Daphnia pulex: one gene and its partner. The protein of the gene in region 1 binds, or shares a complex with, the protein of each later gene. Links are inferred from orthologs where the notes say so. Each region holds a gene or a part of one and is shown in the gene's direction. Other genes may lie near its edges. The genes, in order: phosphatidylinositol N-acetylglucosaminyltransferase subunit A-like and phosphatidylinositol N-acetylglucosaminyltransferase subunit H-like.

The links.
Region 2: phosphatidylinositol N-acetylglucosaminyltransferase subunit A-like (region 1) and phosphatidylinositol N-acetylglucosaminyltransferase subunit H-like share a complex: the UniProt entries of both Homo sapiens proteins name them as parts of the glycosylphosphatidylinositol-N-acetylglucosaminyltransferase (GPI-GnT) complex. The link is inferred for Daphnia pulex from reciprocal best matches to the Homo sapiens genes PIGA and PIGH.

Annotation. Positions count from the first base shown.
Region 1 is NC_060018.1:6,036,873-6,053,121, reverse strand, and holds phosphatidylinositol N-acetylglucosaminyltransferase subunit A-like, read left to right. Parts: upstream 1-7,417; 5' UTR 7,418-7,532; coding exon 7,533-7,549; intron 7,550-7,610; coding exon 7,611-7,767; intron 7,768-7,826; coding exon 7,827-8,006; intron 8,007-8,075; coding exon 8,076-8,194; intron 8,195-8,255; coding exon 8,256-8,371; intron 8,372-8,436; coding exon 8,437-8,528; intron 8,529-8,587; coding exon 8,588-8,793; intron 8,794-8,852; coding exon 8,853-8,938; intron 8,939-9,004; coding exon 9,005-9,188; intron 9,189-9,270; coding exon 9,271-9,418; 3' UTR 9,419-9,737; downstream 9,738-16,249. Other genes in the region: potassium voltage-gated channel subfamily H member 6-like, read right to left, coding at 350-584; anoctamin-7-like, read right to left, coding at 1,375-1,524, 1,590-1,702, 1,769-1,880, 1,989-2,194, 2,267-2,363, 2,443-2,571, 2,674-2,840, 2,931-3,126 and 10 more; actin, muscle, read left to right, coding at 13,293-13,418, 14,035-14,274, 14,389-14,527, 14,597-14,704, 14,819-14,946, 15,046-15,435; SWI/SNF-related matrix-associated actin-dependent regulator of chromatin subfamily A-like protein 1, read right to left, coding at 16,006-16,134, 16,205-16,249. UniProt on the Homo sapiens protein: Catalytic subunit of the glycosylphosphatidylinositol-N-acetylglucosaminyltransferase (GPI-GnT) complex that catalyzes the transfer of N-acetylglucosamine from UDP-N-acetylglucosamine to phosphatidylinositol and participates in the first step of GPI biosynthesis.
Region 2 is NC_060022.1:6,333,392-6,348,099, reverse strand, and holds phosphatidylinositol N-acetylglucosaminyltransferase subunit H-like, read left to right. Parts: upstream 1-7,907; 5' UTR 7,908-7,992; coding exon 7,993-8,251; intron 8,252-8,312; coding exon 8,313-8,440; intron 8,441-8,550; coding exon 8,551-8,622; intron 8,623-8,685; coding exon 8,686-8,766; 3' UTR 8,767-8,829; downstream 8,830-14,708. Other genes in the region: zinc finger FYVE domain-containing protein 9-like, read right to left, coding at 1-1,584, 1,656-1,713; lactoylglutathione lyase-like, read right to left, coding at 2,682-2,761, 2,842-2,931, 3,017-3,084, 3,151-3,258, 5,038-5,153, 5,212-5,283; vam6/Vps39-like protein, read right to left, coding at 6,062-6,229, 6,287-6,403, 6,466-6,594, 6,656-6,822, 6,880-7,286, 8,965-9,059, 9,120-9,254, 9,325-9,483 and 11 more; porphobilinogen deaminase-like, read left to right, coding at 12,959-13,009, 13,086-13,158, 13,238-13,421, 13,478-13,563, 13,626-13,713, 13,776-13,994, 14,056-14,218, 14,286-14,492. UniProt on the Homo sapiens protein: Part of the glycosylphosphatidylinositol-N-acetylglucosaminyltransferase (GPI-GnT) complex that catalyzes the transfer of N-acetylglucosamine from UDP-N-acetylglucosamine to phosphatidylinositol and participates in the first step of GPI biosynthesis.

The DNA of each region.
Region 1 (16,249 bases):
AAAAAGAAAACCTCGTCTTTTTCAATTTAACAAAACCTAAAATCTTTGAAATGTTTTCTCATGTCTAAATGTAGGCTACTGTCTACTATTGTTGCAGTTGATGGAAGTGGATGTGCTTCATGTCAGAGCCAAAGAAAAAGTAGTCCACCACACACAAAGACATTGTCATAGTATTTGAGATAAACATCAGTAGCACCATTCCACAACATGGAAGCATACAGGCCATTAAAAAGGCTGTACATGATGATGCCACTACACTATACAGCTGTCATGGGCTGATGCACACAACAGCAGAACATTCAACCCCAAAACCAGAGATAAAAGAGAGATTTAATCTGTGCTGTCCTACCTTTTTGTGTAAATTGCTGCTGTCTGGGACTGGGTAAAGTCAAGTTGGCACTACTGCCACCACAGCCTGGGCTGAAAAAAGTCGAAGCAGATTGCACACGACCACGAGGTAAAGCAGGATATCGGGCAGCAGGGAAGCGTTTCTTAATTATGATGTTCCTTTTTGCACGCTCTTTTCGGGTCACAGCTACTTTCACCACCCCGAAAGTTTTGACGGGGCAAGCTTTCAAATTCATTCACTTTAGCACAGCAAGAGGAGCAAAGAGGCCACTGTGCATATCTCTGAAGCAAGCATGGCCACAGCATGGAATGCTACAAGTGTTAAAAGATAATGAGTTACGCCTCCTATTATTTTTTTTTTCACGAGTACATGAGAAAGTCAAGTCTGAAACATTTTTTGATCTTCACGACTTGCATACAATAATTTGCGTAGCCACAATAAATTATATATTTCGACGGTTCGACCGTGCTTCAAATCGCAACGACCAAGCACCACAATCTTTCAAACTAATGAGGATAATAGCAGACAAATGAGTTTCGTTCCTACTATGCTCGTCAGGTGGCAGCACTAATCATTGAATTTGAATCCAGAAAACGGAAAAAATAATACTGGTCAAGGAACAATGCATTTATTGAAAGACGGGACAGGAAAAAATTTAAAAATTGGATTAAAAATATCATTGAAAAATATATGTACAGTAATGTCAATATATGGTCATTGATAAACCACCATGCAACTATGCATGTACCACCCTGTCAAAATCATTGGAAAAGTGGAATGTTTGATGTTGGACTTAATTATTAGTTTAACCCGGATTCACTCCGTTGTGGATTTATGAGCTAACTAAATCTCATATCACGTGTGCACCAAAACATTCGCATGAATGTTAATGGTCATTGCACAATTTTTGTGAATCGTCTGGCTTTTAGGAAAAAAATAAAACCTCCACATGACGAATAAAACAATAGTATAAAATCCAATATAAAATATAGGACCATTAAGGGGTTGGCAGCTGAAAAATTAAATTATGTACATTCGGCAACTCGAATGTGATGATCCGGATCCTGTAGTATTTGTTTGGCCAAATATCGATCTCGCTTCATTTTGTTGGCCAAAGTCTTTGGGACGTCAGGAACGACGGCGTCAATCAGTCGGCACACTCCAAATACGAAGTGCTGAACAAGAAGGAAATAAGTCAGCAACTTATTGCATTAGATAGGTAGGATTGCGAAAACAATACCTCAAAGATGACGACAAAAGCCAATCGAACGACGAGCAATTTCCAGTAAAAAGCCGACAGTTTACCGTCTTCATCGCGATAGCTACGGTAGTAGCACGGCTCTGCCATTGCGCCTGGTAACAAGCAAATTAGAAGGTATAAAGCTTATGAAGGTCAAATATTTCTAGATTTATATGCACCTTTAGGAGAAATGGCAAGGGTAAAATTGACGTAACCATCCATCGACCACGAGTGCTCGTATTGGTAAAGAATTTTGGGAAGGAACTCGGACGTGAAAGAAATAAGAAATGCCTATATTAAAAATCCAAATGTTAGTATGCCTTGAATTTGTTTTGAGAATGAGAAGCAGTTTATCACAATTATTTCAAATATTATCGCTACAACTGGAGTAAGATTTACATTGCTGATGACAGCCAGATGAACAAGAAATTCCAATATTCTCAGCCAGATTCCGATGTTTTTGGCCTGGTGCCCTACTGTCCGTCGGGTGTTGCAGACGAATTTCTGCGCGTCTAGTCGTATCTCGACGACGTTATTCAGCAGTGCGAAAAGCGGAGCAAGCGGAAAGGCCGCAACAAATATCGTGATGAAACCGAATTGCATCACTGGCCAAGAAATGATAATTTATCAGCAACACCGATCTTCTAAAAATCTGTCACGATGTTCATGAAACAAACCCATTTCAAGGTATTCCTGGAACAATCCGGCGTTTTCGACCAACTGATAATCTGCCTCCCATGGTTTGGACTTGTCTTTATTTTGGGTGAAATCCACCTTGAAAAATGAATAAACAAAAAAAGAAACAAATCAATCACATTTTTGGCCATGAAAATGAGGGACGAAAATGAATTACTTTTCGATTTTGCCACCAGGCTTGAACTTTTGGCCACAAAATTTCTTGTGCGTTGTTGATGACCTGCTTACCAACCATTATGATGAATAACTGTTGCGAGAGCTCTACCAGACACCCGCCAGCACTGCACTGAATCACGAAAAAAAAAAATCCGAAAACATTAACCTGATACAACTAAATTATCTGCCTAATTGCCAACATCCTTATTGTTTGTTTGATTAAATAATATACCTCTTCGTTCCGCAATCCAAAAATGTGCAGATAGTTGCCTGGGTAGCCGATGAAACGGCCCTTGAAGAAGGCAATGTAGAACGGAGATGCGTACAAATTAACAAACTGGAAAGCGAAGACCTTGAAGGTTAAATTATCCTCGAACTCGATTTGTGTTCTGTGCATTTCTAAACGTCAAGAAAGAAAATGACGGCGAGTTCAATTGAGGCGACGCCTGGGTAATTCAAATATGTAAGTAAATTGTACAACTCGCTCACCCCAGGTGGTGAGTTTGTAGGCCAACTTCTCGTAGAACCGGCCTAGAGCCATAATCAGCACTAGATTGACGACGGCACCGGAGAGATTTGCTATAACTTGAGCTTGCGACTTCAAGGTCTCGTGCTGGAAGAGGGGAATGGAGACCACGATCCGGTAGATGATGATGGCGACGATGAAGATAATCACCATGCAAACCTGCCATCAAAGAATTATTATCATGTGCTTTGCAACCCAATCTGCCGGTAAAGTAAGACGAAAAAACAAGAGAGAGAAAAAGCAGCCACACCATCAAGAAAACGAAGCAGACGCCGGCCATTATCCGCTTTCGCCTGATTGAGTGAGGAAAAGCCGGCTCGGCTATACCAGTCACGGGATTGGTTGCAATAGACGGAGCCTGAAGCAAATTGCATTCTCAATTAAAGCAGCAAATATTCTGAAATCTCGAGTTTACAGTGTCTCCAACCTTCAATTATTTGATCATTGACACAATTTCTTGTTTAGTACCTTCAAAGCGAATTCCGGACGAGGGCGTATTTCTTCTCGTTCAACATCTACCACATCCCAACGGTGAGCCAGGCGTGCGCTGTATCTCTTCCAATACTCTAAAAACGTTACAGCTAAAAGCGCAGAGTTCGATTAATAGGCTACTTTATTAGTTTAAGTGTTATTTACCAATCGCAGTCTTACCCCAGAAAGAGACAAAAATAGCAAAAGCGACTGTCCCCGGATGATCGAAAAGGTAAGACAACTTTGAGTAAGTGCAAACATCGCTAAGATCCCACTGATGGCATCCTTGGCTCTCCTCGCATAACGGACACATAGGGAATTGGCCCTGGCTGTGACAGACTTGCGTCGATGCAGGATCCTCTTCTACGGTTAGTAGACCGTAGATAAAGATCAACACACCGACGATCGATGGCGGAATAAGCCATCCAGTATAGAAGCCGAGCCATGCGAAGTAAAAAGCTATTTTCTCGCCAAAATACTCGCGAACGTTATCCAATGGCTGGTACTTGGGCCACTTGGACCAACGGGCCCAGTATCCATGCAGAACTTGACGAGGATTTAATTTATGTTGGTCTTGATTCCCAGATTTGTCTTCTTGATAGCAACCCTAAAATAGAATTTATTGCAAAGGCGTTTTAGATTTAGTTTTCTGTTTCTTCTTGGAAGTCGTAAAAATTCATCTGACCTCATGCAAAGGGTAGGAGGCTGTGTAGACGCCCTCTTTTAACAAGCGCTCGATGCCGACTTCACCTTTCCGTCGGTCTCCATATGTTGTCCTGGCCAAAATCTCGTTAACAATTCGACTGCGCTCCGTTGATGTAAAATAAGATTCGCAATCAAGATTACCCAACAACCTGTGGTACGTAATACATCAGTTAGAACCAAATTACTTTTACAATTTTAAAGAATACGTTCGTACGTTGAGATTTTCGACCGTCTAAATGGGTAAGTGCAGCAAACTTGAGGCGGGTCACCTGGAATTTCCTGTGCGAAACAGTTTGGTAGCCTGAAGGACTTGAAAAGTCTTGCAGACCAATTATCCTCATCGGCCTTGGCCTGGCACTAAATTTATAAAATATGACGTCGAATATTAAACATTTTTTTTCTCTCTCTTGAACTTCTATTATTAATTTATTACCAAAATCCTTGCACGAAATCCCAATTCCTCCGCCCAATGAGCCAGTAACTATGAATAACATTCATCGTTACGTAAACCTTTAAATGTCAACATAAAAAATAGATCGGCAATTCATACCGGAAAAGGGGCGTGCAATTTGATAAATCGGACGTTAGTTCTTTTCCCTTCTGTGAATTCCTGCAAATCAATTTAAAAAATGTTAAACAAGTTGCATAAAAAAAGGAAAAATCTGTTTTTAAGAGCTCTTATCATCTCTTGACAGACTTCTCTGGTATTTAAAAAGAATTTCACAATAGAGAGATAGAGTTGCCAGTTCCTGAGCGTGACTCCCGTCTCTCGTTTCAATTGTCACGTCACGTCACGTAACTTTTGGAACACGGATTTGAACTTTAACATCTAGGGCTCTCTTGTTTTACGCACTTAAACAACTCACGATCAACTTGCAGACACATGCTAATAACAACTACGGTTGTAGTCTGAAATTGAGTTGAAAATACTTGGAATTATTAAATTTAAATGAAGAAGAATTAAACCTCTTCGATTTCGATTCCTTGTGACTTGAGTTTATCAAGAAATGTCTTCCTGATATCCATCTTCCGGTTCTGCTTTGGTGTGCTGTGGTGTACCGCTGACGTCAATAACATTGGTAGCATTCCGCCCTGTGGCGATTTCCCTTCCTGGCGAAATGGCAAGGGCGTCGATGACTGGTGTGGAGTGTTGTGACTTCTGCTTCGGCTAGGTGCCAGACTAACTTCTTCGTGGACTAGGACATAGTCTATCTTTCGTCGACCATCGCGGAAGTACGTGCCAACAGCTTTTGAATGTTTAGATTGTTTATTTTCTCTGGAACATTCGTCGTTAACTTCCGGTGGAGGCTCAACTACGACGTACTGGAAGTTGAACAGGGGAAAAAATCAGAATAAATTATCATGGTTGCACATCACTCGCTTGTCAAACAAAATCTAAATCTAAATTTGAATTTTGAAAAAAGTACTGTGAAGTATTTTCTATCCTAGACTTAATTTATCCTGTATTTACTTCGCCCGCTGTTCTTTTAGAAGTTGTTTCCACAACTTATGTAAAATGTTTCAAAAAGGTCCAGCAAAGCGGAAACAGCTGGTCGCGTACGTAGAAAGCATAACCAAACAGTGTCGTTTTACAATGACATTACTCTTCCAAAAATAGGAAAAAACGTGTGAAAGCGTAAAATGTTATTGTCATCTTCAAAAAGTGTTGACCTTTATCTGAAAAGGTACCGTAGTACCTCATGAATCATCAAGAACTACGGTCAACACGTCATTACAGGTTCGGAGACGAATGAACCCGAGATTCCTTACCAACTAGAAAGATTTAAAAAAAAGGGAAAAAAAATCTACAGATGAATGCGTCACCGTGTCTTGAAAAGCATCCTTATGATCCGCACGACCAAGTCTTCTGGACGTGACTGTTTCCAAGTTTCCATCCGATGGTTCCGTCGAGGGACTCTGCTCCTTTGCAGAGTTTGTTGATGGGTTAGACGTCTGGCCCTTGTCGTCCTTGTGGTGTCCCCTCGACTCGAGTCTCCGCCGCACAAACTATTATACAAGACGAGATTCGTATGTAAGGAAATGGATCAAATATCAACTACATGCATCATATTTAGACAATCCTGGAAAATGTCAAGGAAAAACCCGCTGCATGATATCATAAAAAGAGATTTCTCATCAATCAATTTTGTTATTCCATTTGCATACAGTAAGGTGGCGCCGAGTGAAAGGTAGAGAGCCAAATCCAGCACAGAGCTATGAGTTCCCCTTTCAGATTTCTTAATGTTAAAAAAAAAAAAAAAAAAAAAAAAGATGCTGGCCGATCATGACCTAGTTGTTTCTTCAAAGTTAAGAAATAACACAGTAATGGGAATTCTGTATATGGCTCTAATTAGTAAACACGTTCCGGTACACGACTACACTCTTACCAATTAAGATAAGTAATAAAATTTGTTTGCGTTTTAGGAAAATGCCATCTCACGGCCTTCACGTGATTTCAGCTTCATTCGAAATCGTTGATTAAAACAACAGCAACAACAAAACAACAAAACATAAACGAACAGCTTACCAATCTGGCCAGATTATGGCGACGTTGTTTAATGCATTTTAGTCGCATGGCACCATTGACACGGTACGTCCCACATGAACGGACACTGAGAACCAGCACACAGAACACTAGAACGAAATCAAAATCCACCTTGCACGGACGAGGTGCGGGTTGCGTTTGACCAGCGCACCGCGGGTAACACCAAAGGATATCCACAGCAGCAGCGCCACTGGCCCATTTGGCTTTCTTTTTATTCTTTCTCTTCCTTTTAGGCCATTTGTTTGTTTCTTTTCTTAAAAGGGATGGATCCAATCTAGAAAAGCATCATGTGTCCACTCAACACTTTCTGACTCTTTCATGTAATGTAAAACTCACAAAAAAGGGATAAGGGTTCGCCGGCTAGACGGAAAACGCTGAAGTTTCAGTTAACTTTAATAAATAGAGATCTTGTGCATCCAAGGTGAACCCGCACAGAATAGTCTACCCACACAAATACGAAGGATTTTCTTGCCTACGCCAAGGACACTCTATTGAATAGGGGATCAATCGCCAAATCATGTAAATAAATTCCCGCGCTATACTGCAAATTCCTAGTAGTTGCGGTTATTCCGTGGTTACTTAGACTATGCCATAGCTCTTGTAGGGAAATGCACATACATTTACAAAGTAGTTTTTCCTGCGAATTTGAAACAGGAAATCTTGATTTAAACAATAGTTCTTGCCATCGGCTTGTAATAATTGTTTTAAAATGGACTAAATGGAGTCCATATTTAAAATCAAATCAATATAAAAAATTTGCGCAGTGCGTTGACTGCAGCGCCTAGCTAGAAGGGACTTCAAGCTTGTTTGACGTTTAAACGTCAAAACAGAAGACAAAAAAAAAATGAGACATGTGATTTGGTAAGGCAAAACTGTTTGTGAAAAACTTTCATAAAATAATTCTTTTCTCTTATTATGATAGCATGGTCTCGGATTTCTTTTATCCAAACTTGGGAGGAGTAGAGTCGCACATTTTTACCCTATCGCAATGTCTGATAACTCTTGGACACAAAGTTATCGTCATCACTCATTCTTACGGAAATCGAGTCGGAGTTCGCTATATGACTAATGGCCTTAAAGTATAGAAAAACAAAGATTAAACAAATGAGGTTTCTAATGTTAATCACTTGTTTTGCAGGTTTACTATCTTCCTATCAAAACTATGCATGACCAAGTCGTTCTCCCAACTCTTTTCGCTTCCTTGTCCATTTTTAGAAATATTTATATTAGAGAGTGTGTTGAAATAGTACATGGGCACTCAGCCTTTTCTACATTAGCACATGAAGGTATTGTAATAGCAAGATTGTTGGGTCTCAAGGTAACTTTACTACTAGCATATGCATATCATTATTAATTTCAAAGTAAATACGAGTTTGATTATTTACAGGCTGTTTTCACAGATCATTCCTTAAATGGGTTTGCTGACATCTCTGCAATTCTCACCAATAAACTTCTAGAAATCACATTGTCAGGGGTAAACCACTGCATATGTGTTTCACATACAGGGTAAATGCAAACACCTTTGAAATTATTCTTACGATCAAATTTTAATTGTTTCTGGTGGTAGGAAGGAAAACACAGTATTAAGAGCTAAAGTTCCTGCCAACCATGTCTCAGTAATACCAAATGCAACAGACACAACATTATTTAAACCAGATGTTACCAAAAAGGAGACAGATCAAAGTATTTAGATTTTTGCAAAATCTCAAATTACTGAAATATTAACAGCATAATTTATAATATTTCAGTAATAATTGTTGCATTAAGCCGCCTAGTCTACAGGAAAGGTATTGACCTACTAGCTTCCGTAATTCCCATTATTTGTAAAAAGTACCCCAAGGTAATTTTCAAATAATTAAGACTACTTTCAGAAATAGTGTTATGCAATTCCTAAATCAGGTTCACTTTCTGATTGGAGGTGACGGACCAAAGCGACTCGTACTAGAACAAGTCCGCGAGAGAGAAGGGCTGCATGAAAGAGTGTCGTTGCTCGGAGCACTAGATCAATCTGAAGTTCACGGGACACTACTGCGAGGTCATATATTCTTAAACACCTCATTAACTGAAGCTTACTGTATAGCTATTGTGGAAGCTGCAGCCTGCGGGTTAGTAGTTTCCTTCGCAATAAAATCTTTCTTCGAATTGTTAACTAACACAAAAACAGTTTGCAGGTGGTTAGTACTAAAGTTGGTGGTATTCCTGAGGTGCTCCCACCAGAAATGATTCGCATGGCTCAGCCTGACGTCAGCGGTAAACAAAATTATTTCCCAATTTAAAAGTGCTGAGTGGCACTTTAATTACTCGTTGTATATTTAGCAATCGTCTCAGCACTGGATGACGCCATCGACTCCCACCTGAAAGGAACTTGTATGTCTCCATGGGAGTGTCATCAATTCATTCATCGCACGTACAACTGGGTTGACATTGCTACTCGCACGCAATTAGTTTACGACGACGTCAAACAGCAGCCAAGTTTGAGTGTTGGGAAACTTCTCTGCAGGTAAAAATAACGCCCATATATGATGATGTGATAAGCTCGAAAAATTTCTAAAAATGTGACTCCTGGAATTTTCCCTTATAAGCAGATACCGAAACTGTGGGCCAGTTGCGGGTCCCTTTTTCGTTCTCATCTTCACAATATGTCACATACTGCTGCAGTTTTTCGAGTGGCTCTACCCGCGTCATTTGATCGATATCGCACCGGATTACAATAACGAAAAAGGATTATGATGTAATCCTTATAAAACTACTACGTCAAGGGCGGTCAAGCAAAAAAAAAAAAAAAAAGGAAGAAAACACACAAACACCTTGAAGATTCCTTGCCTTGGCTTTGCCACCGTGCGGTTTGAGACGGCATGCTTATAAGGTATTAGACCCGGTGTCGCACCTATATTTAGTCATGCTCGCGTGTTCTTAGAGTTTCTCTGGAAATCTAGCTACCAAACTACAAAATGCATCGGAGTTAAATTTCCCAGGTGCTATCAACATGTTTCCCTGATTCTGTGTAAATTGATTTCTGTGAATTTTAATAGGCCAAATTTTAGTTTGACATAGTTTGATGTCTGATTAATGCATCTTTGTTTTTTAAATCAACAACAAAAAAAAGGGACTTTGATGGATAATTATAAGGACGAGATTTGCAGGACACGCATGATTACATTTTTTGGCGTCAATCAACAATTTGCAGTACAGATCTGCGTTTTTGAAATGTTAAAAAAATTGACCTCGATTCAGCTAGCTATCTGGTCTCCTGTGTGTTATTTCTGGTACGAGGAACAGACATGGTGGCAGTTGCTCTCCTTTAGATGCTTGTCTTTGGGATGTTGCCTGTTTCCAAACGGTCGCCCTACCGGGTGCGCGGCCGTCTGATGCTCAGTCTATTCTCAACGGCCTTGTTTCACGCTGCGGAGAGTGAGCGATGGAGAAAAGAAAAGGTCTGGTCACCCGATCTTATTTGACATCGCTGCACTCGAGTCGGTCAATAGCAGATTAAACGTATCATTTAGTCCAAGTAGAATATTAGACCGGCAAAACGACTGCAACGATCCGATCATCCGGAAACAGGATACGATCATACTGAATGAAAGAGCTCGCAGCGATCATTGGATCTCTTTCAAAACAGGAAAAAAAGGAGGAAGCTCGATCGGTGCCAAGTAGGCAGGAGAAAACTTGCTGCATAAATAGAAACAGTACTAACAACTTCCGCGATAAATTGTCAGCTCTTTTCTACGGTTTCCCTATAGATTCCGTACAGCGGAAAAGTATAAAACATAGTATGTTAATACATTATCGCAAGATGTCGAGCATTTAACGAAGAGGCGGCGCACACCATACGCGACGGGTAATATTTGAGAGGCGTAATTAGTCGATAAGAAAAGTGTCGAGGGTATGACTGAGTCTACTTTAAGGAATGATGAGAATTAAGGCGGAATTAAGGGGGTTGATAGAGCGTTAGTATTGCCACATATGGGCAACCTCCCAATGAGTGCCCTGTGTGTGCGTGTGTGTGTGTGTGTGTAGTGTATATGTCTGTACGTCTGTATGTCTTGCGTGTGTGTGTTGCTGGGCATTTTCGGTTAGAAAAGTTCTAAATTTAACCCCGCTCCAAAGTTGGGAGCGACTGCGTTTAAACATAGGCCCCACCAAATCAAGCTGCTGCATGCCCCCCCTCTCCCTCCGTGTTTCTTTTCTCTGTCCTCTGACGCGATGGCTTTGAAACAAACCATGTTGTTGGTGTGTATCAACTACTTCATTTTTAGAACTTTCGCGGTTTGAAATTACGTTTATACAACACGGTCGGATGGCCAACCATAGAACCGAAAGAAGCACAGCAGACTCTAGACCGAATTTGTGCTACGATTACTCCTAGACTATGTGGTTTCAGACATTCACGCGCGAGTTTTCGAGTGGGGACGCTGGATTTCATCATTGCATAAACTCGCGCGTTCGTGAGAGAGAATAGAGTAGCACTGGGGTTTCTTAATGTAAACGAATGAAATAAAAGAAACCTAAATATTGTTTTGAAAATGGCGCCAGAACCACGAAGAAATAGCGGATCACACAGAAAATAAAGTCAAACAAAAACAAAAAGTTGCATCTACTCCTCTACGGTTTGATCTCTCACTCGGCACTCCCTCCCCCCCCCCACCTCCTCTCCCATCCTTCTTCTCTTTTTCCTCCTCCTCGGTCTCCAAACGGTTTGCGTCCATCCCACCCCACGCGTCGTGACGCCGCCGGAGTCCAAACGGCGTCCCTCGCCATTTATGGTCACGACAACCATTCATTCGCTTGCTTACTTCCTAGAGGCTTTTGAGTGAAAATAAGGAGGCCAAAAACTTGACGAATTCTTTCAATGATTTACAGCTTCTTGTCCGTCTCGATTCAATTCAATTTACCGTTCACGTTACCCGCAAATCCCAACCCTTAAATGGCCGGTCTGCAGTCCAGCACCGCTACAAGTCTGAAGTCTGAAGTCCAATCATTGAGCTAATGACCTCTTACTAGTCAAAATATTTTCACTATGAGTTGGCCTTCAAGAGAACGAAAGTAAAATTCCTTTCGGTGCTAACAAGAGATAAGAACTTTCAAGAAATTGAATTACAAGGAACTTTGAAAATTAGAATCAGCAAAGAGAGATTATTTGCAGATTTAATGTCGGGGGCGTAGAATTGAAGCAAATCATCGAGGATCGCAATCAAGCACAAGATTGAAATCAATTATCAAAGTAAGTTTGAAATCATTGTTCTAATTAACAAATGTATCGGTGCAATTAGACCTTTTGGTAATTAGAACTTGATAATGAAAAATGCTCATTTATCCCTAAACTTTGTAGTTTTGAGGAGCGAATGCTCAATATATGGAAAGGGAATAGGTTGGTTCCCAACGATGAGGGGGGATGTAAAAGGCCCATGTTTGGTCCTCGTGTGCGCGTATAGTAAAAAGACGCGGGATCCCTTCCTTGCCCGTCGAAAGAAGCGAAAGATATTTTCGTCTTGAAGCACACTCCTCTCTCTCTCTTTCTCTTTCCCTCTCTTTCTCTTTTCTTCTTTCTACTCTCTCGTTTTCACCACCCTCCTCCCTCTTTTTGGCCTCCTCCAGTTCGTCCGTCTGGAAGCCAGTGGACCACCACCCTAAGCCACTCCCAAGCCCTTTATAAGACGAGGAGTTCCGAGTTGTCAGTACACCAGACCGTCCCCAGTCGGTTAGCTCAACAGAGCAAACGTACCTGGTAATATATTCTTGTCCAGCTTCTTCTTTTACGTATTGCGTACATAGCGTGGTGCATTATTCTACACATTACAACTTTAAATAGTGAGAGCGGAAAATCCCCAAAAAGTGTTTAGCGAGTTTGATAACTACAGCAGTGTTTAGTTCCATTCTGGAATGGAAATTCTGGAATCGATCGCGATCAGGAATAGGGATCCTTTCAATTTAAAATTTGCCGTTTTTTTCCATTTAGTTTCAATCAAAAATTAATTTTTTTTTGCACTTGTAAATCTCACGCATACATTTCACTATTTCAACTTTTCTGAGTGTCCAGTCGTACGTTGCCGTAGCGCTGTAAACGTGTGTGAGCATCTGGAAACGATCACAAATCTCTCTAGAAGGCACAGAGTGGCTCTCATCCGCTGTCTATTTTACATACTTTTCTTTTTCTTGGTTTCCTTGACATGGACAGCCATCTGATGCAAGCTCACGTTTCGACGCAATCTTCTTTCACTCTTTTACGATTTCCGCTTTTGAAAACTATTAAAAACGGCAATTATTTGTCGCTTTTCGGTTGCCTTTTTCTGAATTCCCCACAGTGATTTATCGTAGACAAGTACAAGTGTTTCCAACTAGCCAGTTAAATATCAAAAAGTTGTTCCACATATTCCAATAAGCCAGTCAAAAAATCCTCCAAAAACAGACGAAGCTCTAGAAAAACTTTGCCCCGTCACTCCCTAAGCTCCTTCACAAAAAAGAACAGGGACAACAGAGAAAAAGATATTTGCACCGCTGTTATTGTTTTTTTTTGTCTGATCTAATTTGTCTTCATTTTGTGTGTTCTGTTTTTTTCGCAGTTTTTTCCAGTTCACTCGCCCCCCAGACTTAATTCATCAACATGTGTGACGACGATGTTGCGGCTTTGGTTGTGGACAACGGATCCGGTATGTGCAAGGCTGGATTCGCCGGAGATGACGCCCCTCGTGCCGTCTTCCCCTCCATTGTCGGCCGTCCTCGCCACCAGGTATAAAAATTCGTCTCAAACAAGCAACAACAAATCGGGAATCGGAAATTTTACTCCAAGCGTAGAACAAAAAAAAAAAGCCCATTTTGATTTTTAAAGAATCGGGATTCTTCTGGAAAGAAGAGAAAAATATAAAAAAATCTATTCCTACTTCCTGAAACCCGTAAAATGTGATCTCAAAACTGGGGGGGATAACTAAACAGCAGAGTAAATGTAAAAACCTAGAGCGGCACTTCCATAAAAGGAGATGGTGGAGGATGCGACGTGGGGGCGGGAAGTCGGATGCTGGCTAAAATTAGCCACGACACCAGAAGGAGGAAGGTCTGGTGCTAAAATAGCCCAAGATCTTTCTGGCTTCGTCCACCCCCCCCCCCTGTTCTCATCTCTGTTTTTCTATATACCTCCCGCTACCATGTGTGGCAGGGATCGGATGACTTGGTGTGGACCCACGCTAGTGCTCCCCCACTGGCATTCGTGCCGGTCGTTCCTTCTTTTAACTTTGGCCTCCCCGTTATTGCATAGACAACTCCCAACATCTGGGATGGGATTTGAACGGAAAGGGCCGACTGTCGGACAACTGGATGGCGACGACTAATAATTGTTTTAACTATTACAGGGTGTCATGGTGGGTATGGGCCAGAAAGACTCGTACGTCGGTGACGAGGCTCAGTCCAAGCGTGGTATCTTGACTCTGAAATACCCCATTGAGCACGGTATCATCACCAACTGGGATGACATGGAAAAGATCTGGCACCACACCTTCTACAACGAGTTGCGCGTGGCTCCCGAGGAACACCCCATCCTCTTGACTGAAGCTCCCCTCAACCCCAAGGCTAACCGTGAGAAGATGACCCAGGTGCGAATAACAACCCCAAAACAAAAATGACACGCGAAATCACCGCAATGCTAGCCACAGAAGACGTCCACTAACCTCCTTTTTTGGTCGTATGGCTCTATCCACTCAATGCAGATCATGTTCGAGACCTTCAACTGCCCGGCCATGTACGTCGCCATCCAGGCCGTCCTCTCCCTCTATGCCTCCGGTCGTACCACTGGTATCGTCTTGGACTCCGGTGATGGTGTCTCCCACACCGTCCCCATCTATGAAGGTTCGAAACAAAAATTAATCGTCATGGATGAGACAAATTTATCAACGATATATTACGGTTGAAATATAGGTTACGCTCTGCCCCACGCCATCCTCCGTCTGGATTTGGCTGGTCGTGACTTGACTGACTACTTGATGAAGATCTTGACCGAACGTGGTTACAGCTTCACCACCACCGGTAAAAAACAGCCTCCTTCAAAATCCCATCCAACTTTCACGACAATTTGTTTGAAGCGGAAATTGACGCTGTTTTTTTTTTTTGGTTCTTCTTTTCTGGTTTGATGACCAACAGCTGAGCGTGAAATCGTTCGTGACATCAAGGAGAAATTGTGCTATGTCGCTTTGGACTTTGAACAGGAAATGGCCACTGCTGCTGCCTCCACCTCTCTGGAGAAATCCTATGAATTGCCCGACGGTCAGGTATGACGAGCTTCCCCTTTTTTTCGACTCCTGTCCAGCAATTAGGCATGTCGGTCACGGGCGTGGTGGTAACGATCTTCTCCTTCTTCCCCTGCACAGGTCATCACCATCGGCAACGAGCGATTCCGCTGCCCCGAGGCCCTCTTCCAGCCCTCTTTCTTGGGTATGGAATCTTGCGGTATCCACGAGACCGTCTACAACTCGATCATGAAGTGCGACGTCGACATCCGTAAGGATCTGTACGCCAACACTGTCCTCTCCGGCGGAACCACCATGTACCCCGGTATTGCTGATCGTATGCAAAAGGAAATCACCGCCTTGGCCCCATCCACCATCAAGATCAAGATCATCGCTCCCCCTGAGCGCAAATACTCCGTCTGGATCGGTGGTTCCATCTTGGCCTCTCTGTCCACCTTCCAACAGATGTGGATCTCCAAGCAGGAATACGACGAGTCCGGCCCTGGCATTGTCCACCGCAAGTGCTTTTAAATCACCTGGCGCTACTCGAGGGAGAAGAGACTCGCTCTCGACTCTCGTCGTCCCAATACTTTTTCACTATTTACTCTTCTCTTCTTCGACTTTCTCTCCCCTTTTCTGTCTTTCTTTCATACTTTTTCGTCTCTCTTGACGTTTTTCACTTCCCAGTTCTTATTTATTTACTCACTGTCTCTGTCGACACTTCTTTCGAGAAATATTGATTGATGATGGATTTTCCTTCTCTTTGCCTAGTTTTGAACACAGCTAAAACACCTGCCCACCCAATTTTCACTTCAAAGTCAATTAATTGGCCGTTCTCTTTGATTCCTTAATACCCAAATCTATCTTCATGCCATACTGTTTCTCTGTTAAACCCTTTCATTTATTTTGAAAAAAGCTGTTGACGTCTGTGCCTTAATTGAATACATGCAAACGGACTTGGAAGTGACATGATTCAAAAAAATACATATTCTCATTTCAAATTCATCAATTTGACCCTGTAATTTCGACAACCGCCCCGTAAATTTTTTTTGAGAGTTTAACGAAATCTTGCCTTACTTGAGAATTTAACGAAAACTTGCCTTAGTTTGCTTTAGACCTTTTGCTCTCCGGTTCGCCGTAGTTTTTTTCCGCTTCATCCAGTGCCAACAAATCCTCACTCGACAATTCTTCCAAGAAATCAATAATGGAAGCCTGGGCCGGTTTGGCATTCTGAAATATTAAAAAATAAATAAATAAGGGATAGAAATAGAATGCAATGAAGGGGCTCGTCGGAATTTACGGAGAGATATCTAGTATCCGCTTCATGAAAGTTATCTTTACTGAG
Region 2 (14,708 bases), on another chromosome or scaffold:
GGAGCGCAGCAGCAGCTGCTATTTGGATAGCGGGTGGTACGGTTGAACAGTACTCAGCTGGATTGTTGACATTAACTCTGGCAACTGGATTAGGAAAATGTGGGGAGGGACTAGAGGCGGGTGTGGAATCAAAACTGCTTTGACTGCCACTATCCACTGTGTTAGTTGAAGTCTGGGTCTCCGTTACACCGCCCCACTTTTTATATGCTTCAACTTTTCTTAGGACTTGCAGACATGGCAAACACACCCGAGTTTCAGTGCTCTCCATATACTCAAGACGGGCACGTGAAGAACAGCAATTGTTGCAGAGAACTCGTCCACATGCACGACAATGATGTCGTCGTCTAATGACTGTAAATCGCTGACTACAATTCATGCATTGAGGAGCTTCTTCATCGGGAATCCAAACAGGCTTGAGAACTCCAAGTAATCGTTCATCTTCAGTTAAGCTACTATAAGGCTCTAGAAGGGAATCTTCCCCTTGTGAAAATCCCGAAATGACAGACGTAACGTTACTTTCTTCTTGAACATCCACAGACGCAGGCAAACCTTCTTCAGTTTCAGAAATTTCATCAATCACTTCACAAGACGAAGGAACTTCTTGATTACTCTCTGCACAAGGAAGATTAGGTTCAATGACATCAATTGTGGTATCCACCATAATCTGAGATGGCATGGTTTCAATGATAATTTCGCTGCTCACCAAACATGGATCATCTATTAATTGGGGCATTTCTTCTTCAGCACTCAATGAATCTTCTTGAAATTGAGGGTTTACTTCAGTAGAATCAGAATCACTAAATGATGAACCATTTGAATCCTCTGTTGATGTAATTTCACTGTCAGATAATGGTAAACTTTCTCCTTCTTCTGTTAAGGGCAGAATAGAAGTTATTTCTTCATTTGCAATGTCAATGTTGGAAACAGCATTTTCTTTATCAGCTTCAGAAGTACTGGGTGAATAATTTGGTTTATGATTATTTGCCTCTTGATCATCAGTGTGAAGATCAATAGTAGGCTGAGATAGTTCTCCTTCATCTTCTTTTTCCAATTCAGCAAGATAGCTTTCAAGTTCATCATCTGTTAAAGTGTCTGGATGAAGAGGATTAAAAGCTCCATTTTGTATGATAATGTTAGTCAACAATGGCTGAGTGACCACATCTTCTGTGAATGATTGATCAAGCAAGGTAGAACTTTCAACTGTGAGATGTACAGATTCTTCTTTAGTAAGAACACTATCAAGAGCTTCACTCAAATCAAGAAGCAACTCATTCTGTAGACTGGAATGTTCATTAGGGTTAACCACACTCAATTCTGCATCAATAAATTCATTTTCTGTTTGACACTCAACAATTTCTGCCTGTTCTGGTTGTGAGGTGTCTGGTGAAGTAGATTTTGATTCTAAGACTTCACAAACCACAAGGTTTGAACACTGCGGAAATTCCTGTTGACCATTGATTGAATCATCAAGCGGTTCTGATATTGTAAAATCCACTAATCCAGGAGAGTTCTGCTTCTGAAATTTATCAGTTTCTTCCAAAACGTCACACTTTTCAGCATTCTTAACAAACTGTTCTGCCTGGTCTAAAATATTAAATATAAAAAAAAAAAAATTATTTTTATTATTACCAGAAAAGTAGCATAAATAATGTTACCTTCTTGTAATTCAAAGTCATCCAAGACCTTGTCTAAATCCACAGCAAACTTCTCCATGTTAAAAGTGGGTGTTGACAATGTTCCACACAATATCTTTAAAAAAATATTTCAAAAATTCATTAAAAACTTCAATGAGTGGACGTCATTTCTTTGTATAGCTGGCACATGATTTGATTAAGGATTTCCCGATCGGACAATTCGTTGTCGTAATCCGACGGTAGTGTTAAACAGACGCACTCAAATTATTACGTATATTCGTCTGATGTTTGATAAAATATGGGAAATGGAATATGGCAAATTTCGAAGAATCATAAATTGCGGAATTTATGAAGTGGAATCGTTTTATTTATTTTTTAATTTGGTTTCCGTTTTATGGTGATTGGTGAAATCAGTCGTCCTGTTTGTCAGTGTATGAAGTCATTCGTATAATTTACTATAATACCAAAAGAATATCGATCCCTGTTTTCTCTTATCAGAAGGAAGGAAGTAGAAACCTCAAACCTAAAACAATAAGAGAATTGGACCAACACCAACCGATATTTTTTTACCGCGTTTTATTTTTCTTTAAAAACCGAAAACTAAACTGCAATGCAATTAAATTTTTATAGACAATCCACCCTATAATGCTATCGTCTGTTACTGATAGTATGTTTACATACGTAGGATAGTAAAATATTTGGAATGAATCGCAAATCGCAATAGACTATGACCTACAGCAACTACTTTTCCGAGAACTTTGAATTCTTCCTATGTTACCGTTTTCCGCAAATTATCTTTTCACATGAATAATACTTGGTTTCTAATGCCAGAACTGCACTGTAAAAGAAAAAAGATGGAGTTTGATGGCATTTAACCGTTAAAAAAAAAAAAGATCTTATTGGTCATGTCGTAGTCTATCTCTTTATTGAATTTTCAAAGCTTTTGTTTTTCTTAACAACACGTAATATAGTCAAATCACAGCATATATTTTATTATTGTTTTTCTTTAATCCACTTGAAAAAAGCTGTAAATAGTGACTCAGACACTCAGATATTTAGATTGTTATTAAATATTTCAATCCAGTAACCATCAGGGTCTTTGATGAAAGCTATTCCCTTCATTTTACCTACAAAGGAGAACAAAAATGTCAAATGAAGTATTGACGAGGACTCGACGTCGCATCATAAAATTAGTAAATAAAATTACCATCATTAGGTTTTTTCACAAATTCAACTCCAAGGTTGGCAAACCTTTCACATGCAGCATCAACATCTGGTACCATAATTCCAATGTGCCCTATGTAATACAACATTACACATTCACATTATTATATGAAAATTACATGTAATTTAACAATGGGAAAATAATGGTTTAAGAATACCATATCCCCTTGGTTCAGAGTTTCCAGTGTGATACTTCAATTCTGGGTCAGATTCACTTCCCCAGTTACTGTGAAATGAAAAATAAATGTAAGCAACTTTAAAATTATTTGTGAGAAAACTGTGTAACATTTACTGTGTAAGCTCTAAGGTTGCTTTTCTAGATAAGGCCCACTTGGCCCTATCTTTTTCATCAGCAGGTATGTCATCTGGACTTTCATATCCCATGAAGTACAGGGAGAATTTTATGGGGTGCGGAATGAACACTTTTTCAAAAAAAAATGTTCAATAATCGATTACCATATTTGATGTGAAAACAAATTGATAATCGATTTGAATATTGAAATCAAGTTGAAAATATATTCAAAAATTGAAAATCTTTTGAAAACGATTTCATAAATTGAAAATGATTTTGAAAAATGAAAATGATTTCGAAAAACTAAAATGAATTTGAAAAACTAAAATGATTTCGAAAAATGAAAACGAATTTGAAAAATGAAAATGAACTTGAAAAATGAAAATGAACTTGAATATCCATACAATTTCGGGAGTGCGATATGACACCACCCTACTCTATCCCCAGCTCTCTCCGGATGCTATAGCCACCCCGAGACAACCGACTAGCCATTGATGGCTATGTCGCTGATTCCAGCCAGCTAGGCCGTCAGCGATACTGTCAGCCCTTGCCGGGCGGTGCTGGCCACCGCTGCCGCCACAACGGCAGCCGCTAAAGTCTCTCTCGACCGCAGGCCGAGTATTACCCTACACAAAAATAGATTACACGATCCAACGTGTGAAAAATTTCATGTTCCTATACGACTACTTTTATTTGAGGCCGGCCATGAAAAAAAAAGCTTTTCTGTTGAAACGGACATGAGCAACATGACCATTTGGATCCTCTTCTTTGGCCTCCACCGCCATGTCCGCTGCCTCCATGATGGTAGAAAAGATAGACGTTGCGCCAATTTTTGGTGTTCAATCCGTCGCTGCAGCTGAGACAGAGCCATCCTTCCAACGAACTCTTCCTTGGAATGGCCCAATTTTATATAAATGCCGTAGAGTATCGGGTAGGTAACACTTCCGGCGCAAGTGGACCACATGGCAAAGACGTAGAGACAATAGAGAAGTCCAGCTCCCCAATCCGCTTAGATAGCGGATAATTTCCAGCAGGGCCAGCACCAACATGAGGATCCACGTCAGCAAGAAGGCGTGTCCGCCTTCTTCTTCTCGTCGGATTGAACGGCAGAGTATCGCAGCAGTACAGGACGCATAGGCCTATCCAGCGAAACGTACCAGAACACTTCTTTCCGGGCAGTTGGCAGTTAGTGGAATGACGAGAACTTCTCGAGGACGTCATACCGAGGCGTGACTGGAACTTTTCTCAGGTGAAAGCCACCCATTCGGCCGTTCCGTCTTCATCGTTGCTGGGTAGGCTGTGTGTCATTTACTGCAGGAACATGAAACTTTTCACGTTGGATCGTGTAATCTATTTTTGTGTAGAATACTCGGCCTGCGGTCGAGAGAGACTTTAGCGGCTGCCGTTGTGGCGGCAGCGGTGGCCAGCACCGCCCGGCAAGGGCTGAGAGTATCGCTGACGGCCTAGCTGGCTGGAATCAGCGACATAGCCATCAATGGCTAGTCGGTTGTCTCGGGGTGGCTATAGGAGATGGCTATGGAGAGAGCTGGGGATAGAGTAGGGTGGTGTCATATCGCACTCCCGAAATTGTATGGATATTCAAGTTCATTTTCATTTTTCAAGTTCATTTTCATTTTTCAAATTCGTTTTCATTTTTCGAAATCATTTTAGTTTTTCAAATTCATTTTAGTTTTTCGAAATCATTTTCATTTTTCAAAATCATTATCAATTTATGAAATCAATTTCAAAACATTTTCAATTTTTGAATTTATTTTCAACTTGGTTTCAATATTCGAATCGATTATCAATTTGTTTTCAGATCAAATATGGTAATCGATTTTTGAACATTTTTTTTTGAAAAAGTGTTCAATCCGCACCCCATAGAATTTCATTTCATCAAAGTTGAATTGCTTAAGTAAACACATTCCTAATACTCTAGTATAAAAATCAAGACTGGCCTTAGGATCTTTAATACGATACATGGTTTGCTGAAAGAGAAAATCCTGAAAAAAAAAACATTTTCCCATAACATTTTTAAGAATCAAAGTATGAAAATATTACTTTTGTCTGAGGGTCAGCATGTTTGCAAGCTGCCTTCACCTCTTCAGGACTTAATGGTTTACACTCTGCCATTTCTTTTTCTAAATAAAAAAATTAACGCACAATTTCATTTTTTGTCAGAGAATTTATACAATCCTGAATTCCTGAGTAAGAAAAACACTTACCGTTAGCTCAACTGCTTATTTGGACAAGGCCGCAGGTTGCTGTTTACGTTGCACCGTCGTCCGCACTAGATTATATCAGAATAAAACAATACAGTGTTGGACGTTTTATAGACGTATCAAAAAATTTATCAACGAATTATCGATTTAATTTCATATCGAGTTCGATTTTTACAAATTGGAAAATGCAAAACTACGCAACTACGCACTACACTCATGGTCGCTCATGCTCATACCATTAAATTATCTACGTATTTCTTAGGATTAACAATAACATTTACTATTGCAATGCACTTCTTCAGCACATTCCTAAATTGTGTCGGTGCATACGTATCATACGCAAGATTTGTTGTTCAATTTCAGATGACACATCGCACGCCTCATCACGGCTGGATCACCCTAATAAGACTAAATCAAATTTCTTACTTGTGTTAGATTACCTATCACAAGGAAAAAACTATATTAACTATGTTATTTTATGCTTGTAAATATTACTAGGTCACTCCAGACCTTACTTTATCTTGAGAACAAAAGGATCACTAACTAATTTTTCCAGTGGTAATTTACAGAAATTTTAGCGGTAAAAGTAAAACGGTTCCAACTGTATTAATTGCGGATGATGCTCACAGTAAAATACAAACACAAGATTGCAGTCATTCTTTTCTGTCAAATTTACTGTGTAAACAAATTCATTTCTTAGTTACTGGCGGTCTGTAAATGCCAACAACCACAGCATGATCACGCTCGTAAGGTTCAAGAGTCAATTGCTCAATCGGTTTCATTTTTTCAGCTTGCATTTTCTTGACTTCACCGGCAAATACGGCTTCGGGAGCGGCAGTCGAGTCGATGCAATTAGCCTACGCAAGTTAACAATTAAGTACCATTGTAAATTTAAAGTTTAGAAGGAAGTATACCTTAATAGAAATAACAAAATGTCCGCCATTCTTCAAGAAATATTGTGCGTTAAGCGCTACAATACGTGCTTGATCGGGCTGAGCAACATCGGCGAAAATGGTGTCAACCATACCAATCTAAATAGCAAATAAATCAAATTATTTGAAGTGGACGGATGAGTTGTTTTCATCAGACTTACCAGCATACGATATTTGTGAGGGTGACGAGCATCTTCAATAATTGGAATAATGTTGGTTCGTTTCTTGGCAACGTTAATCAAGTCACGACCAGAACGGTGAGAAAATTCGACGGCGTAAACAAGACCTTCCTGTAGTTACAAGGTTATTGTATATAATTCTTAAGTGCAAAAATTAATGAAATCAGTTTACCGGTCCAACAACGTCAGATACGTGAGAGACGGTTGTCCCAGAAGCAGCACCCAAATACAAAACTTTGCTTCCAGGAGGCATGTGAATCTGATCAACACCACCCAAGATAGCTGCAGCCAACTTTGAGCGGAAAGGATTCCAGACACGGTACTCAATCTTCTCAGCTCCTAGAACAAGACTGTTAAAGACTGCAAGCTAATTAAGAAAGCTGTTAAATGAAATACCTTCTTCTTCTACTGCTATTCTTTTTTCACCATACACTGAATCACCAATGGCCATGTTCTTTGTGACTAGAGCATCTTCTTTACCTCTGGCAATAAACACTCCAGCATGGCGATGGGGCTCGACAAAAACTTTCTTTCCTCCGCCCATGCCACCACGGCCTCCACCACCTCGGCCACGACCGCCACCACCACGTCCGCGTCCACCTCCTCGATCTCCACCAAATCCTCCTCTACCACGACCACCACGGTCACCAAAGCCACCACGACCTCTTCCACCTCCACGATCTCCACCAAATCCACCTCTGCCACCTCCACGGTCTCCACCAAATCCACCTCTGCCACCTCCTCGGTCTCCACCAAAGCCACCTCCTCCACCTCTGCCTCTCATGCCACCTCCTCCACGTGGGCTAAATGCTGTAATTTGGAAAACAAATACATGTAGTCAACTTGATTTGGATTCCATACATTTAGCGCATTCTTAACACATAAATTTTAACAAAACAGACACATAAAATGGCTGATGAACATGTCTACATTTAAACTCAAAAGCATGGCATGTCATGCAATTTAAAATAAATAAATCTTGACTATTTATACAACATAACATGAACATACAAAATAGATGACTCTAATAAAGTAAAATAATAAAAAAATTACCTGGAAAACCCATTATATAGGTATGTCTTCAATAAGAAATTCGAAAGCCAAAAATGAGAACGCTAAAAGCTGTTCTCTTCTTCCACGTGGTTCTGTCCAAATGCTTCCCTTCAGTCTGCAGCGCGGTGTGTGCTTTCGTTCTTGTTTCAGAAGGTACTGCTAAAGAGTCACTCGTCAGTGGCATTGGCGGCGCATGGAATCTTCGGGGTTGTAAGTTATTTTATAATCTATTAGGTATTATTTAATGCGTCACTTGTTAGACAATATAAAATTAATATAAAATTATTTAATTTTTTAAATCGAATATTAAATATTATAAACTACTAATGTATTAATTAATATTAAATAGAACCTAATTGCAGCATAGCTACCAGGCAGACGGATGATCAACAAAACGAGACTGGTTAGTGGTCTGCAAAGTTTTTGTGTGCATTTTTCAAATGGTCTGCTTTTCAAATGTTTGACGATCGTACGAGATATTTGAATGTTTACGGGAACCAATTAAAAGTTACTTATAATCATGGGACTATTTTTGAAGAATATGTAATCGATAGCCAACCATTCCTTTTTGAGAGATGGCTGTCTTGCACAGTGTTTTTAACAGCTATATTTCTTCATCTTGGTTTACATCATCATCACACACACATCCTGGCATTGCTTTGCTTTGTTTTAGCTATTTTAGCCTTGATTAAACTTCATACAAAAGTGAAAAAAGGTACTTATTATTAACCAAATGGTGTTTACTTACTTTTAACTGACTTGTATCATTTTATTAGAATCATTGCTCATTGTGAAAACAGTTGGCTTGCAGATTACCACCATATTTGCAACTGGGAGGAAATCTGCAAAGTTCATTTCATGGGAAAGAATACAGGGAGTCGTTATTAATGAAACTATAACAATGGTATGAATTGTCTCCTGGTCTTGAAGAAATTGAAATATTATCTTGCAGTATAAGACATTCTTTTGAAATAAGTGCTTTTGTGTAATACTAATCTTTATTTTCCATGTCAGCATCAGGTTTTGTTTTATTTAGCAATTTTACTCAAGTATGGACATGGAACAGAAATTCTTCCCATATTTCAGGTAAACTCAAAGATCTCTTCATTATAAAAAACATATCTGAATGATTTTTCTTACACAAAATAGCATACACTTCCTAGACTGGATTGCCTGAAAAATATTTATAAAAGCATTCACCAAATAGTAAACAAAGTGCAACATGATTGATTGGTGTATTGTAACTATGCAAGAGCGCAAACAATTGTGCCAAAATAAATTTTTAAAATTGTGTTTAAATGAGTTTTTCTTGACATGAAAAGTGGACTATTTCTCCACTGGAACATCGAACGAAAGCACTGTTTAAAAAAATTTACATATTTATTTTTAATTCCATGTTGAAGTGAAAAAAAAAACTTCTACTCTTACCTTTGATTTCCGAAGCGTTTTTTACACACGTGGCAGATATTTGATTCTGTTATCACGACTTTCTGATTTTGACATTCAATTCTCTGTTCGTGAACCTACATGTTAATGCTTAAATTAGTAATGTATTATTAATCACAGGGATTTTGAAATAATACTTGAAGATGTTCGGCATAAAGCAGACCACGCAAAAGCTGCAGCTCTCGACGTTGGGATGCAAAAGATTCTAGACTCCTCTGAAGAAAACGTTTAAGTTCCGAAAGAGGTATGGAAGCAGGTAAGATTTGCAATGTCTAGTGATTAAGGAGATGAATAATAATTTTACTTAATCAATTAAAGTATATAAGAAACAACTGGTCTTACCTTAACTGGGTCTAAACGCGACGGAAATCGATCCAATGTTTCCAGTGCTCTTTCGATATCAGGTTGCCTTTGGTGCGGCTCCTCAGTAGGATAAGCTAGACCGGGAATTTTGACAGCATCATCGGGTCGCAGTAAGAGTTTCAACAAGTAAAAATAGACCTAAAAACCAACCAAGGAATATATTGTCGTTGAAATATTGAGAAATTTTGCATTAACGAAAAAACCTCTTTATTTGCTGGTGAATTAGACTGGTAGCAGATATTACAGTAATCTATTGCTGCCGGTAAATCTTTGAGAATGTTGGTATAGATTGATAATGCTTGCTCGTGACGACCAACTTTGCCCAGTAAAATGGCCCTCTCCTCAAACAAGCCTACATATATAATAATAAAAATTCAAAATGTAACATTACGCAGAATTTAAAAAGCCAAAGCATAAACATCTTTAAAGTCACTTACAGTCGTATGGGAATTGAACTAGTATAGCCTCGGGAGAGCAGTGCCGAGAAATTTCAAGGAACGATCGTAACTTTGCTTTTGAATCTTGGTATTCACATTTAATTGCCGGGTCATTGTTATCCTCTTGTAACTGCTTTTCAAGTCTGAGAATTTTATCTTTGTAGAGCACGGCTAAGGCATTGTGGAAGAGAGCGTTCGAATCTTGCCATTCGTAGACAACATGTTCGAGATAGGGTAAAGCTAAAGAGCGATGGTTCTTATACAGAAAATCGTAGACTTTGGCACGTGGGAGTTCCTCGACTTCAGGCAAGTCTTCAATAAAAATTTTAAGACCATCTTCTGGGTGGCTTTGTATAACCCACGAGGAGAAGTCAAAAATTAAGTCCGTGTGTTCCGATCCTAGTCAACAAGATTTCCTTTTTTAAAAATATTACAGTTTCAAAGAAAGTCATGTTTAGGCTACCTAGATGTTGGAGATATTGTACAGTTCGGTCATGATGAGCAAGGGGGGATCCAAAATCTTCTGAGCTAGTTGCGTGTTTCCGAAGCAACTCCAATGCTTTCCGATGAAGGCCGCGAGTTTGGTAAAGGATTATAAGCTCAGCATGTTTGTGATGGCGCTTCAGCGCTCGTTCACTCTCTGCTAAATGACAATGGTTATCTCGTAGTCTTAACAAAGAAGCTACCAGGGCATCGTTGGTCAACAAATAGCATTTCAACAAGGTCGTATCGACTATTTCCAATAGTTGACGTCTTAGCTTCAAGCTTGAACCAACGTCCATAATGTTGGTTCCTGTTTTGACATTCTGACTCATAAGGTCATTCCTAACCTACAATTGAATAACAAATATTAACTCTTTGTAGGTAATAAATATTAAAAATTGTAACAACCTCAGTGAGATATTTAATCAAGGCCAACACAGCGAGATCGAGGTCTCTACCTTGCAAAACGGGAACAGCCTCGGGGTATTCCACTTTTTTCCGGAATTCTACTGGTAATAAATCGGGAAATAGACCAATCACGTAAGAAGGATCTGTAAATTCAATCGGTTTTTTCTTTAGTAAAATAATTTCAATTCATACATTTGCTCTCTCTTTAATCACCAGTAGCAAGCTTGAAAAATAGCTGCAATGATTCGTCAAAGTTGTGTTTCTGGAACAAATTGAAAGCAAACAACGACTGGATGTGTTGAACTTGCTGCGAGCGAATATCTTGTGGTTCGTTAGACAAGTTCTAATCATAAACGAAAAATCTCATTATTTCCCATCATCTCGAAAATTATGAAAAATTTATTTATAACATACCGCAAGCTGAATGGCCAACTGAAAATGTTTGTCTTCAAGCAAGCGAGGTAATTGCAAATGTACAGGGACTAAATGTAGACACCAAACATGAGAGGGAGATGCAACGTAAATCTGTCCGTTCTTCGATATGACTGACGTCATGTACTTGGCCTTTGGCAATTCTAATCGCTGGACAAGGAGCCGTGGCTCTGCTGCTCGAATCTCTATGCAAGACGTCAACACACCCAGAATGTATGGAGAGTCCTCCACTGCAAACATTTTGATTAGTCGACTTAGGTTATATTCTGAACAATATTGGGGTATCTTTTACCTAATAGGATCGGTCTCTCGGACCACGTCAGTGTATACTTGGTGCAAGGATTGCCATCGATATCGATCATAATTGTTTGTTCGTCTCTTCCCAAGGCGAATTTATCGCCTTGTAAGGCACATACCAAAGGTTCAGGCTGTTTTCCAGTGGGAAATAAATCTCTTTGCTCTCCTTCCAGCTATAAAAAGTTAAAAAATATAATTTATTGCCTAAGCAAATCTATTATCGTTAATTACAAAAGAAAAATACCTTGAGTAAACAATATTCCCCCTTAAAACCTAAGCAAAGAGTTTCTCTACACCAACCAATAGTCCGAGGAGTATCGGAAACCGACAAATCCGGCCCTAACTCCCGGAATTCTCGATTTTTCCAATAAAAAAGCTGCAGTTTTTTCTTCACTACAACACAAAGCCTCACTGCCACTGATATCTCCCCAGTCAAAGAAGTTTGTCTCTAAATGAACAATACAAAAGTTTAATTTTGTCACTTCCATCAAAGTCATTGGTTGATTCTGGGAAGGGAAAAAATATTACCTTGACATCAAGACTAAAACATGTGGCTCCTTTGGATTTATTAAGTGACGTTATGACTGGAAAATTAAACACTGTCAAATCATGAACAGACACAAGGTAATCTGAAAAGTATAAAGAAGAATTGGTTATAAGATTCCTATACAAACCAAATGGCACTTAAATACATTAAGCTCACCAGAAAGGCTGATAAGAATCTGGTGTTCAGGAACAACAGCTAGTTGTTGTATTGGTTTTTTGGCAAAATATTTGTTGGACCTTAGCAAGTGGACTTCACAACGTGAGCTGAGAGAACTTTCAGCACTGCCACCATTACTTGCGCCTTGAAGAACACTGTACATCAACAAATGTCCTTGTTGGGTTCCCACTAACAAGTGTTCATCTGAAAACAAATTTTCAATGTAAATAAAACCCATTCATATAATATAGATGAAGGATAGTTAAATAATAAGAAGGCACAGTTGACTAGTTGATAAATTAAAATCAAACAGTGGTTCTGTATTTAAAGTAAAATTACCATAAGCAGCTATAGATTCAATTTGGAGAGGTAATTTCTCCAAAATTGGTAACGCCTCATAGGCGTCATACATTTTTAAAAATCACTAATTGTATGGTGTTTTAATCTGACATGACACTGGGAGGGGGGGGGGAATTTGTTGTTTTGTAGCAGACATCATACAAATGTCCATCTATAGTTCACTACACACACTAAATTTAATTTAAAAGAAATTCCAAAATCAGAATAATTCAACCTAACTGAAAGATAAAATATACAAGCAATTAAATATTAAAAAATTCTAAGTTCTGTCAATGTGTAATTGCTCACCGACCTATCAATATTCAAGTGAATTTTCTTTATAATCCTTGTATTTAGCGCAAAATATTCTATTCTACGCAACGCTGCCTCACTGCTTGGTCATCTTGTTTATGAAATACTATCGCATATTCACAATCAAATTTCTAATCAGATTCTAGTCTTCATCACGTTTCCCTTCCCAGAAAGAACCAAGGAACCATATTCATTGAAGAAGATGTCGGATTTGACGAAACCAACCGTTCGTATCGGTTCCCGCAAAAGTCAGGTATTATTCTCATAAATCATTATTTCCGCTAGCGCATACTTCAAAAATTGCGACGTTATTCTATATTTGATTTTAGCTTGCGCTTGTTCAAAGCAATCATGTGCTCGATCTCCTCACTCAACACTATGAAGACAAAACATTTCATCTCGGTAATATTTTCGCATATTTGCGCTTCGCTGGCCCCTTTCATGAAATTAATTCAGATAAAACAACTTTTATCATTTAAAGAAACGATGACCACCATCGGAGACGAGGTGCTTGACAGAGCATTATCACAAATTGGCGAAAAGAGTTTGTTCACTCGTGAATTGGAGGTGGCTCTGGAACATAATAAGGTCGATCTCGTAGTACACTCACTTAAAGACATGCCGACGACGCTTCCTGAAGGCATGGTCATCGGTGCCATTCTAGAGTAAGTAATTTTAAAACCAAAATGATCATGCTATTATTTACTCACATGCATTTTAGGCGAGAAGATCCTAGAGACGCAGTCTTAATGGCTCCCAAGTTTTCCGGGTGTACATTAGCAACTTTACCAAGTGGCAGCGTCGTAGGTCAGTTGAAAAATTTCAATAGAAAGAGTGATCAAGTATTCAAACCCGTCATTATTTATTAGGAACGAGTTCGTTGCGCCGAGCAGCTCAATTGAAGCGCCACTTTCCCCACCTTGCAATCCAAGACGTAAGGGGAAATTTAAACACAAGGTATAATATAATTTCGCCGATAGATAAAATCTTTCGTCATTAATCGCGAGTTTCTGTGATAGACTACGCAAATTAGACGACGAAGGAACGTATGCTGCACTCATTTTAGCGACAGCTGGAGTCAAGCGAATGAACTGGGAATCGCGTATTTCAGAATATCTTGATACGGACGTGAGCATGTACGCCATTGGCCAAGGTGCACTCGGGATCGAGTGCCGCCAAGATGATATTGCTACTCGTCAACTTTTAGCACCATTTAGCCACGCTAACACGCTACTAGTGTAAGTAAAATTCTATTCATCGTTATATTACATCACATCATATTTTATACAACTATTGCAGTTGCGTTGCTGAACGTGCATTCCTTCGAACACTGGAAGGAGGCTGCTCAGCACCGGTGGCTGTGGAATCTCGTCTAGTTGGAGATATGCTCTACCTTAAGGGTGGTGTATGGAGTTTGGATGGGAAACAAAACGTCACCCAGTCATTGGAAGTGGAGCTAGTTGTATGTTTACTCTAACTTCATTAAAAATTAACATGCATCATTATAACTTATCACATAATTAATTTAGGATATCGAAGATGTTCCACCAGCTGCATCATACACTGCTGTTGTAAGTTCTAGTGTTGGCAATTCTCGCTTGGCCCTGGCGGAATGGTTGGGCGTATCCTTGGCCGGAAAAATCGTCTCATTGGGAGGAGGAGTTATACTTGACGAAGCGAAAAAAGAGACTGAAAATCGCAATTTGGTAGCTGCTAATGTACGCCCATCCAAATAGATGCGCGGATTTTTATCTTCTCTTAGTCAAACGTACATAGTAAAAGGAAGTAAAATTGTGGGTAAAGCTTTGAATACAGATGTGGTTTGTTAATTTTCAATGCTGTTTCTTTCCTTCTTCTTCTTTAAGCTAGGCTAATATTTCATAGATAAAAAAGCAAGCAAGATAACAAGGTATGAGAAATCCAGAAGACTTGGAAATAATACAGCTTTTAAT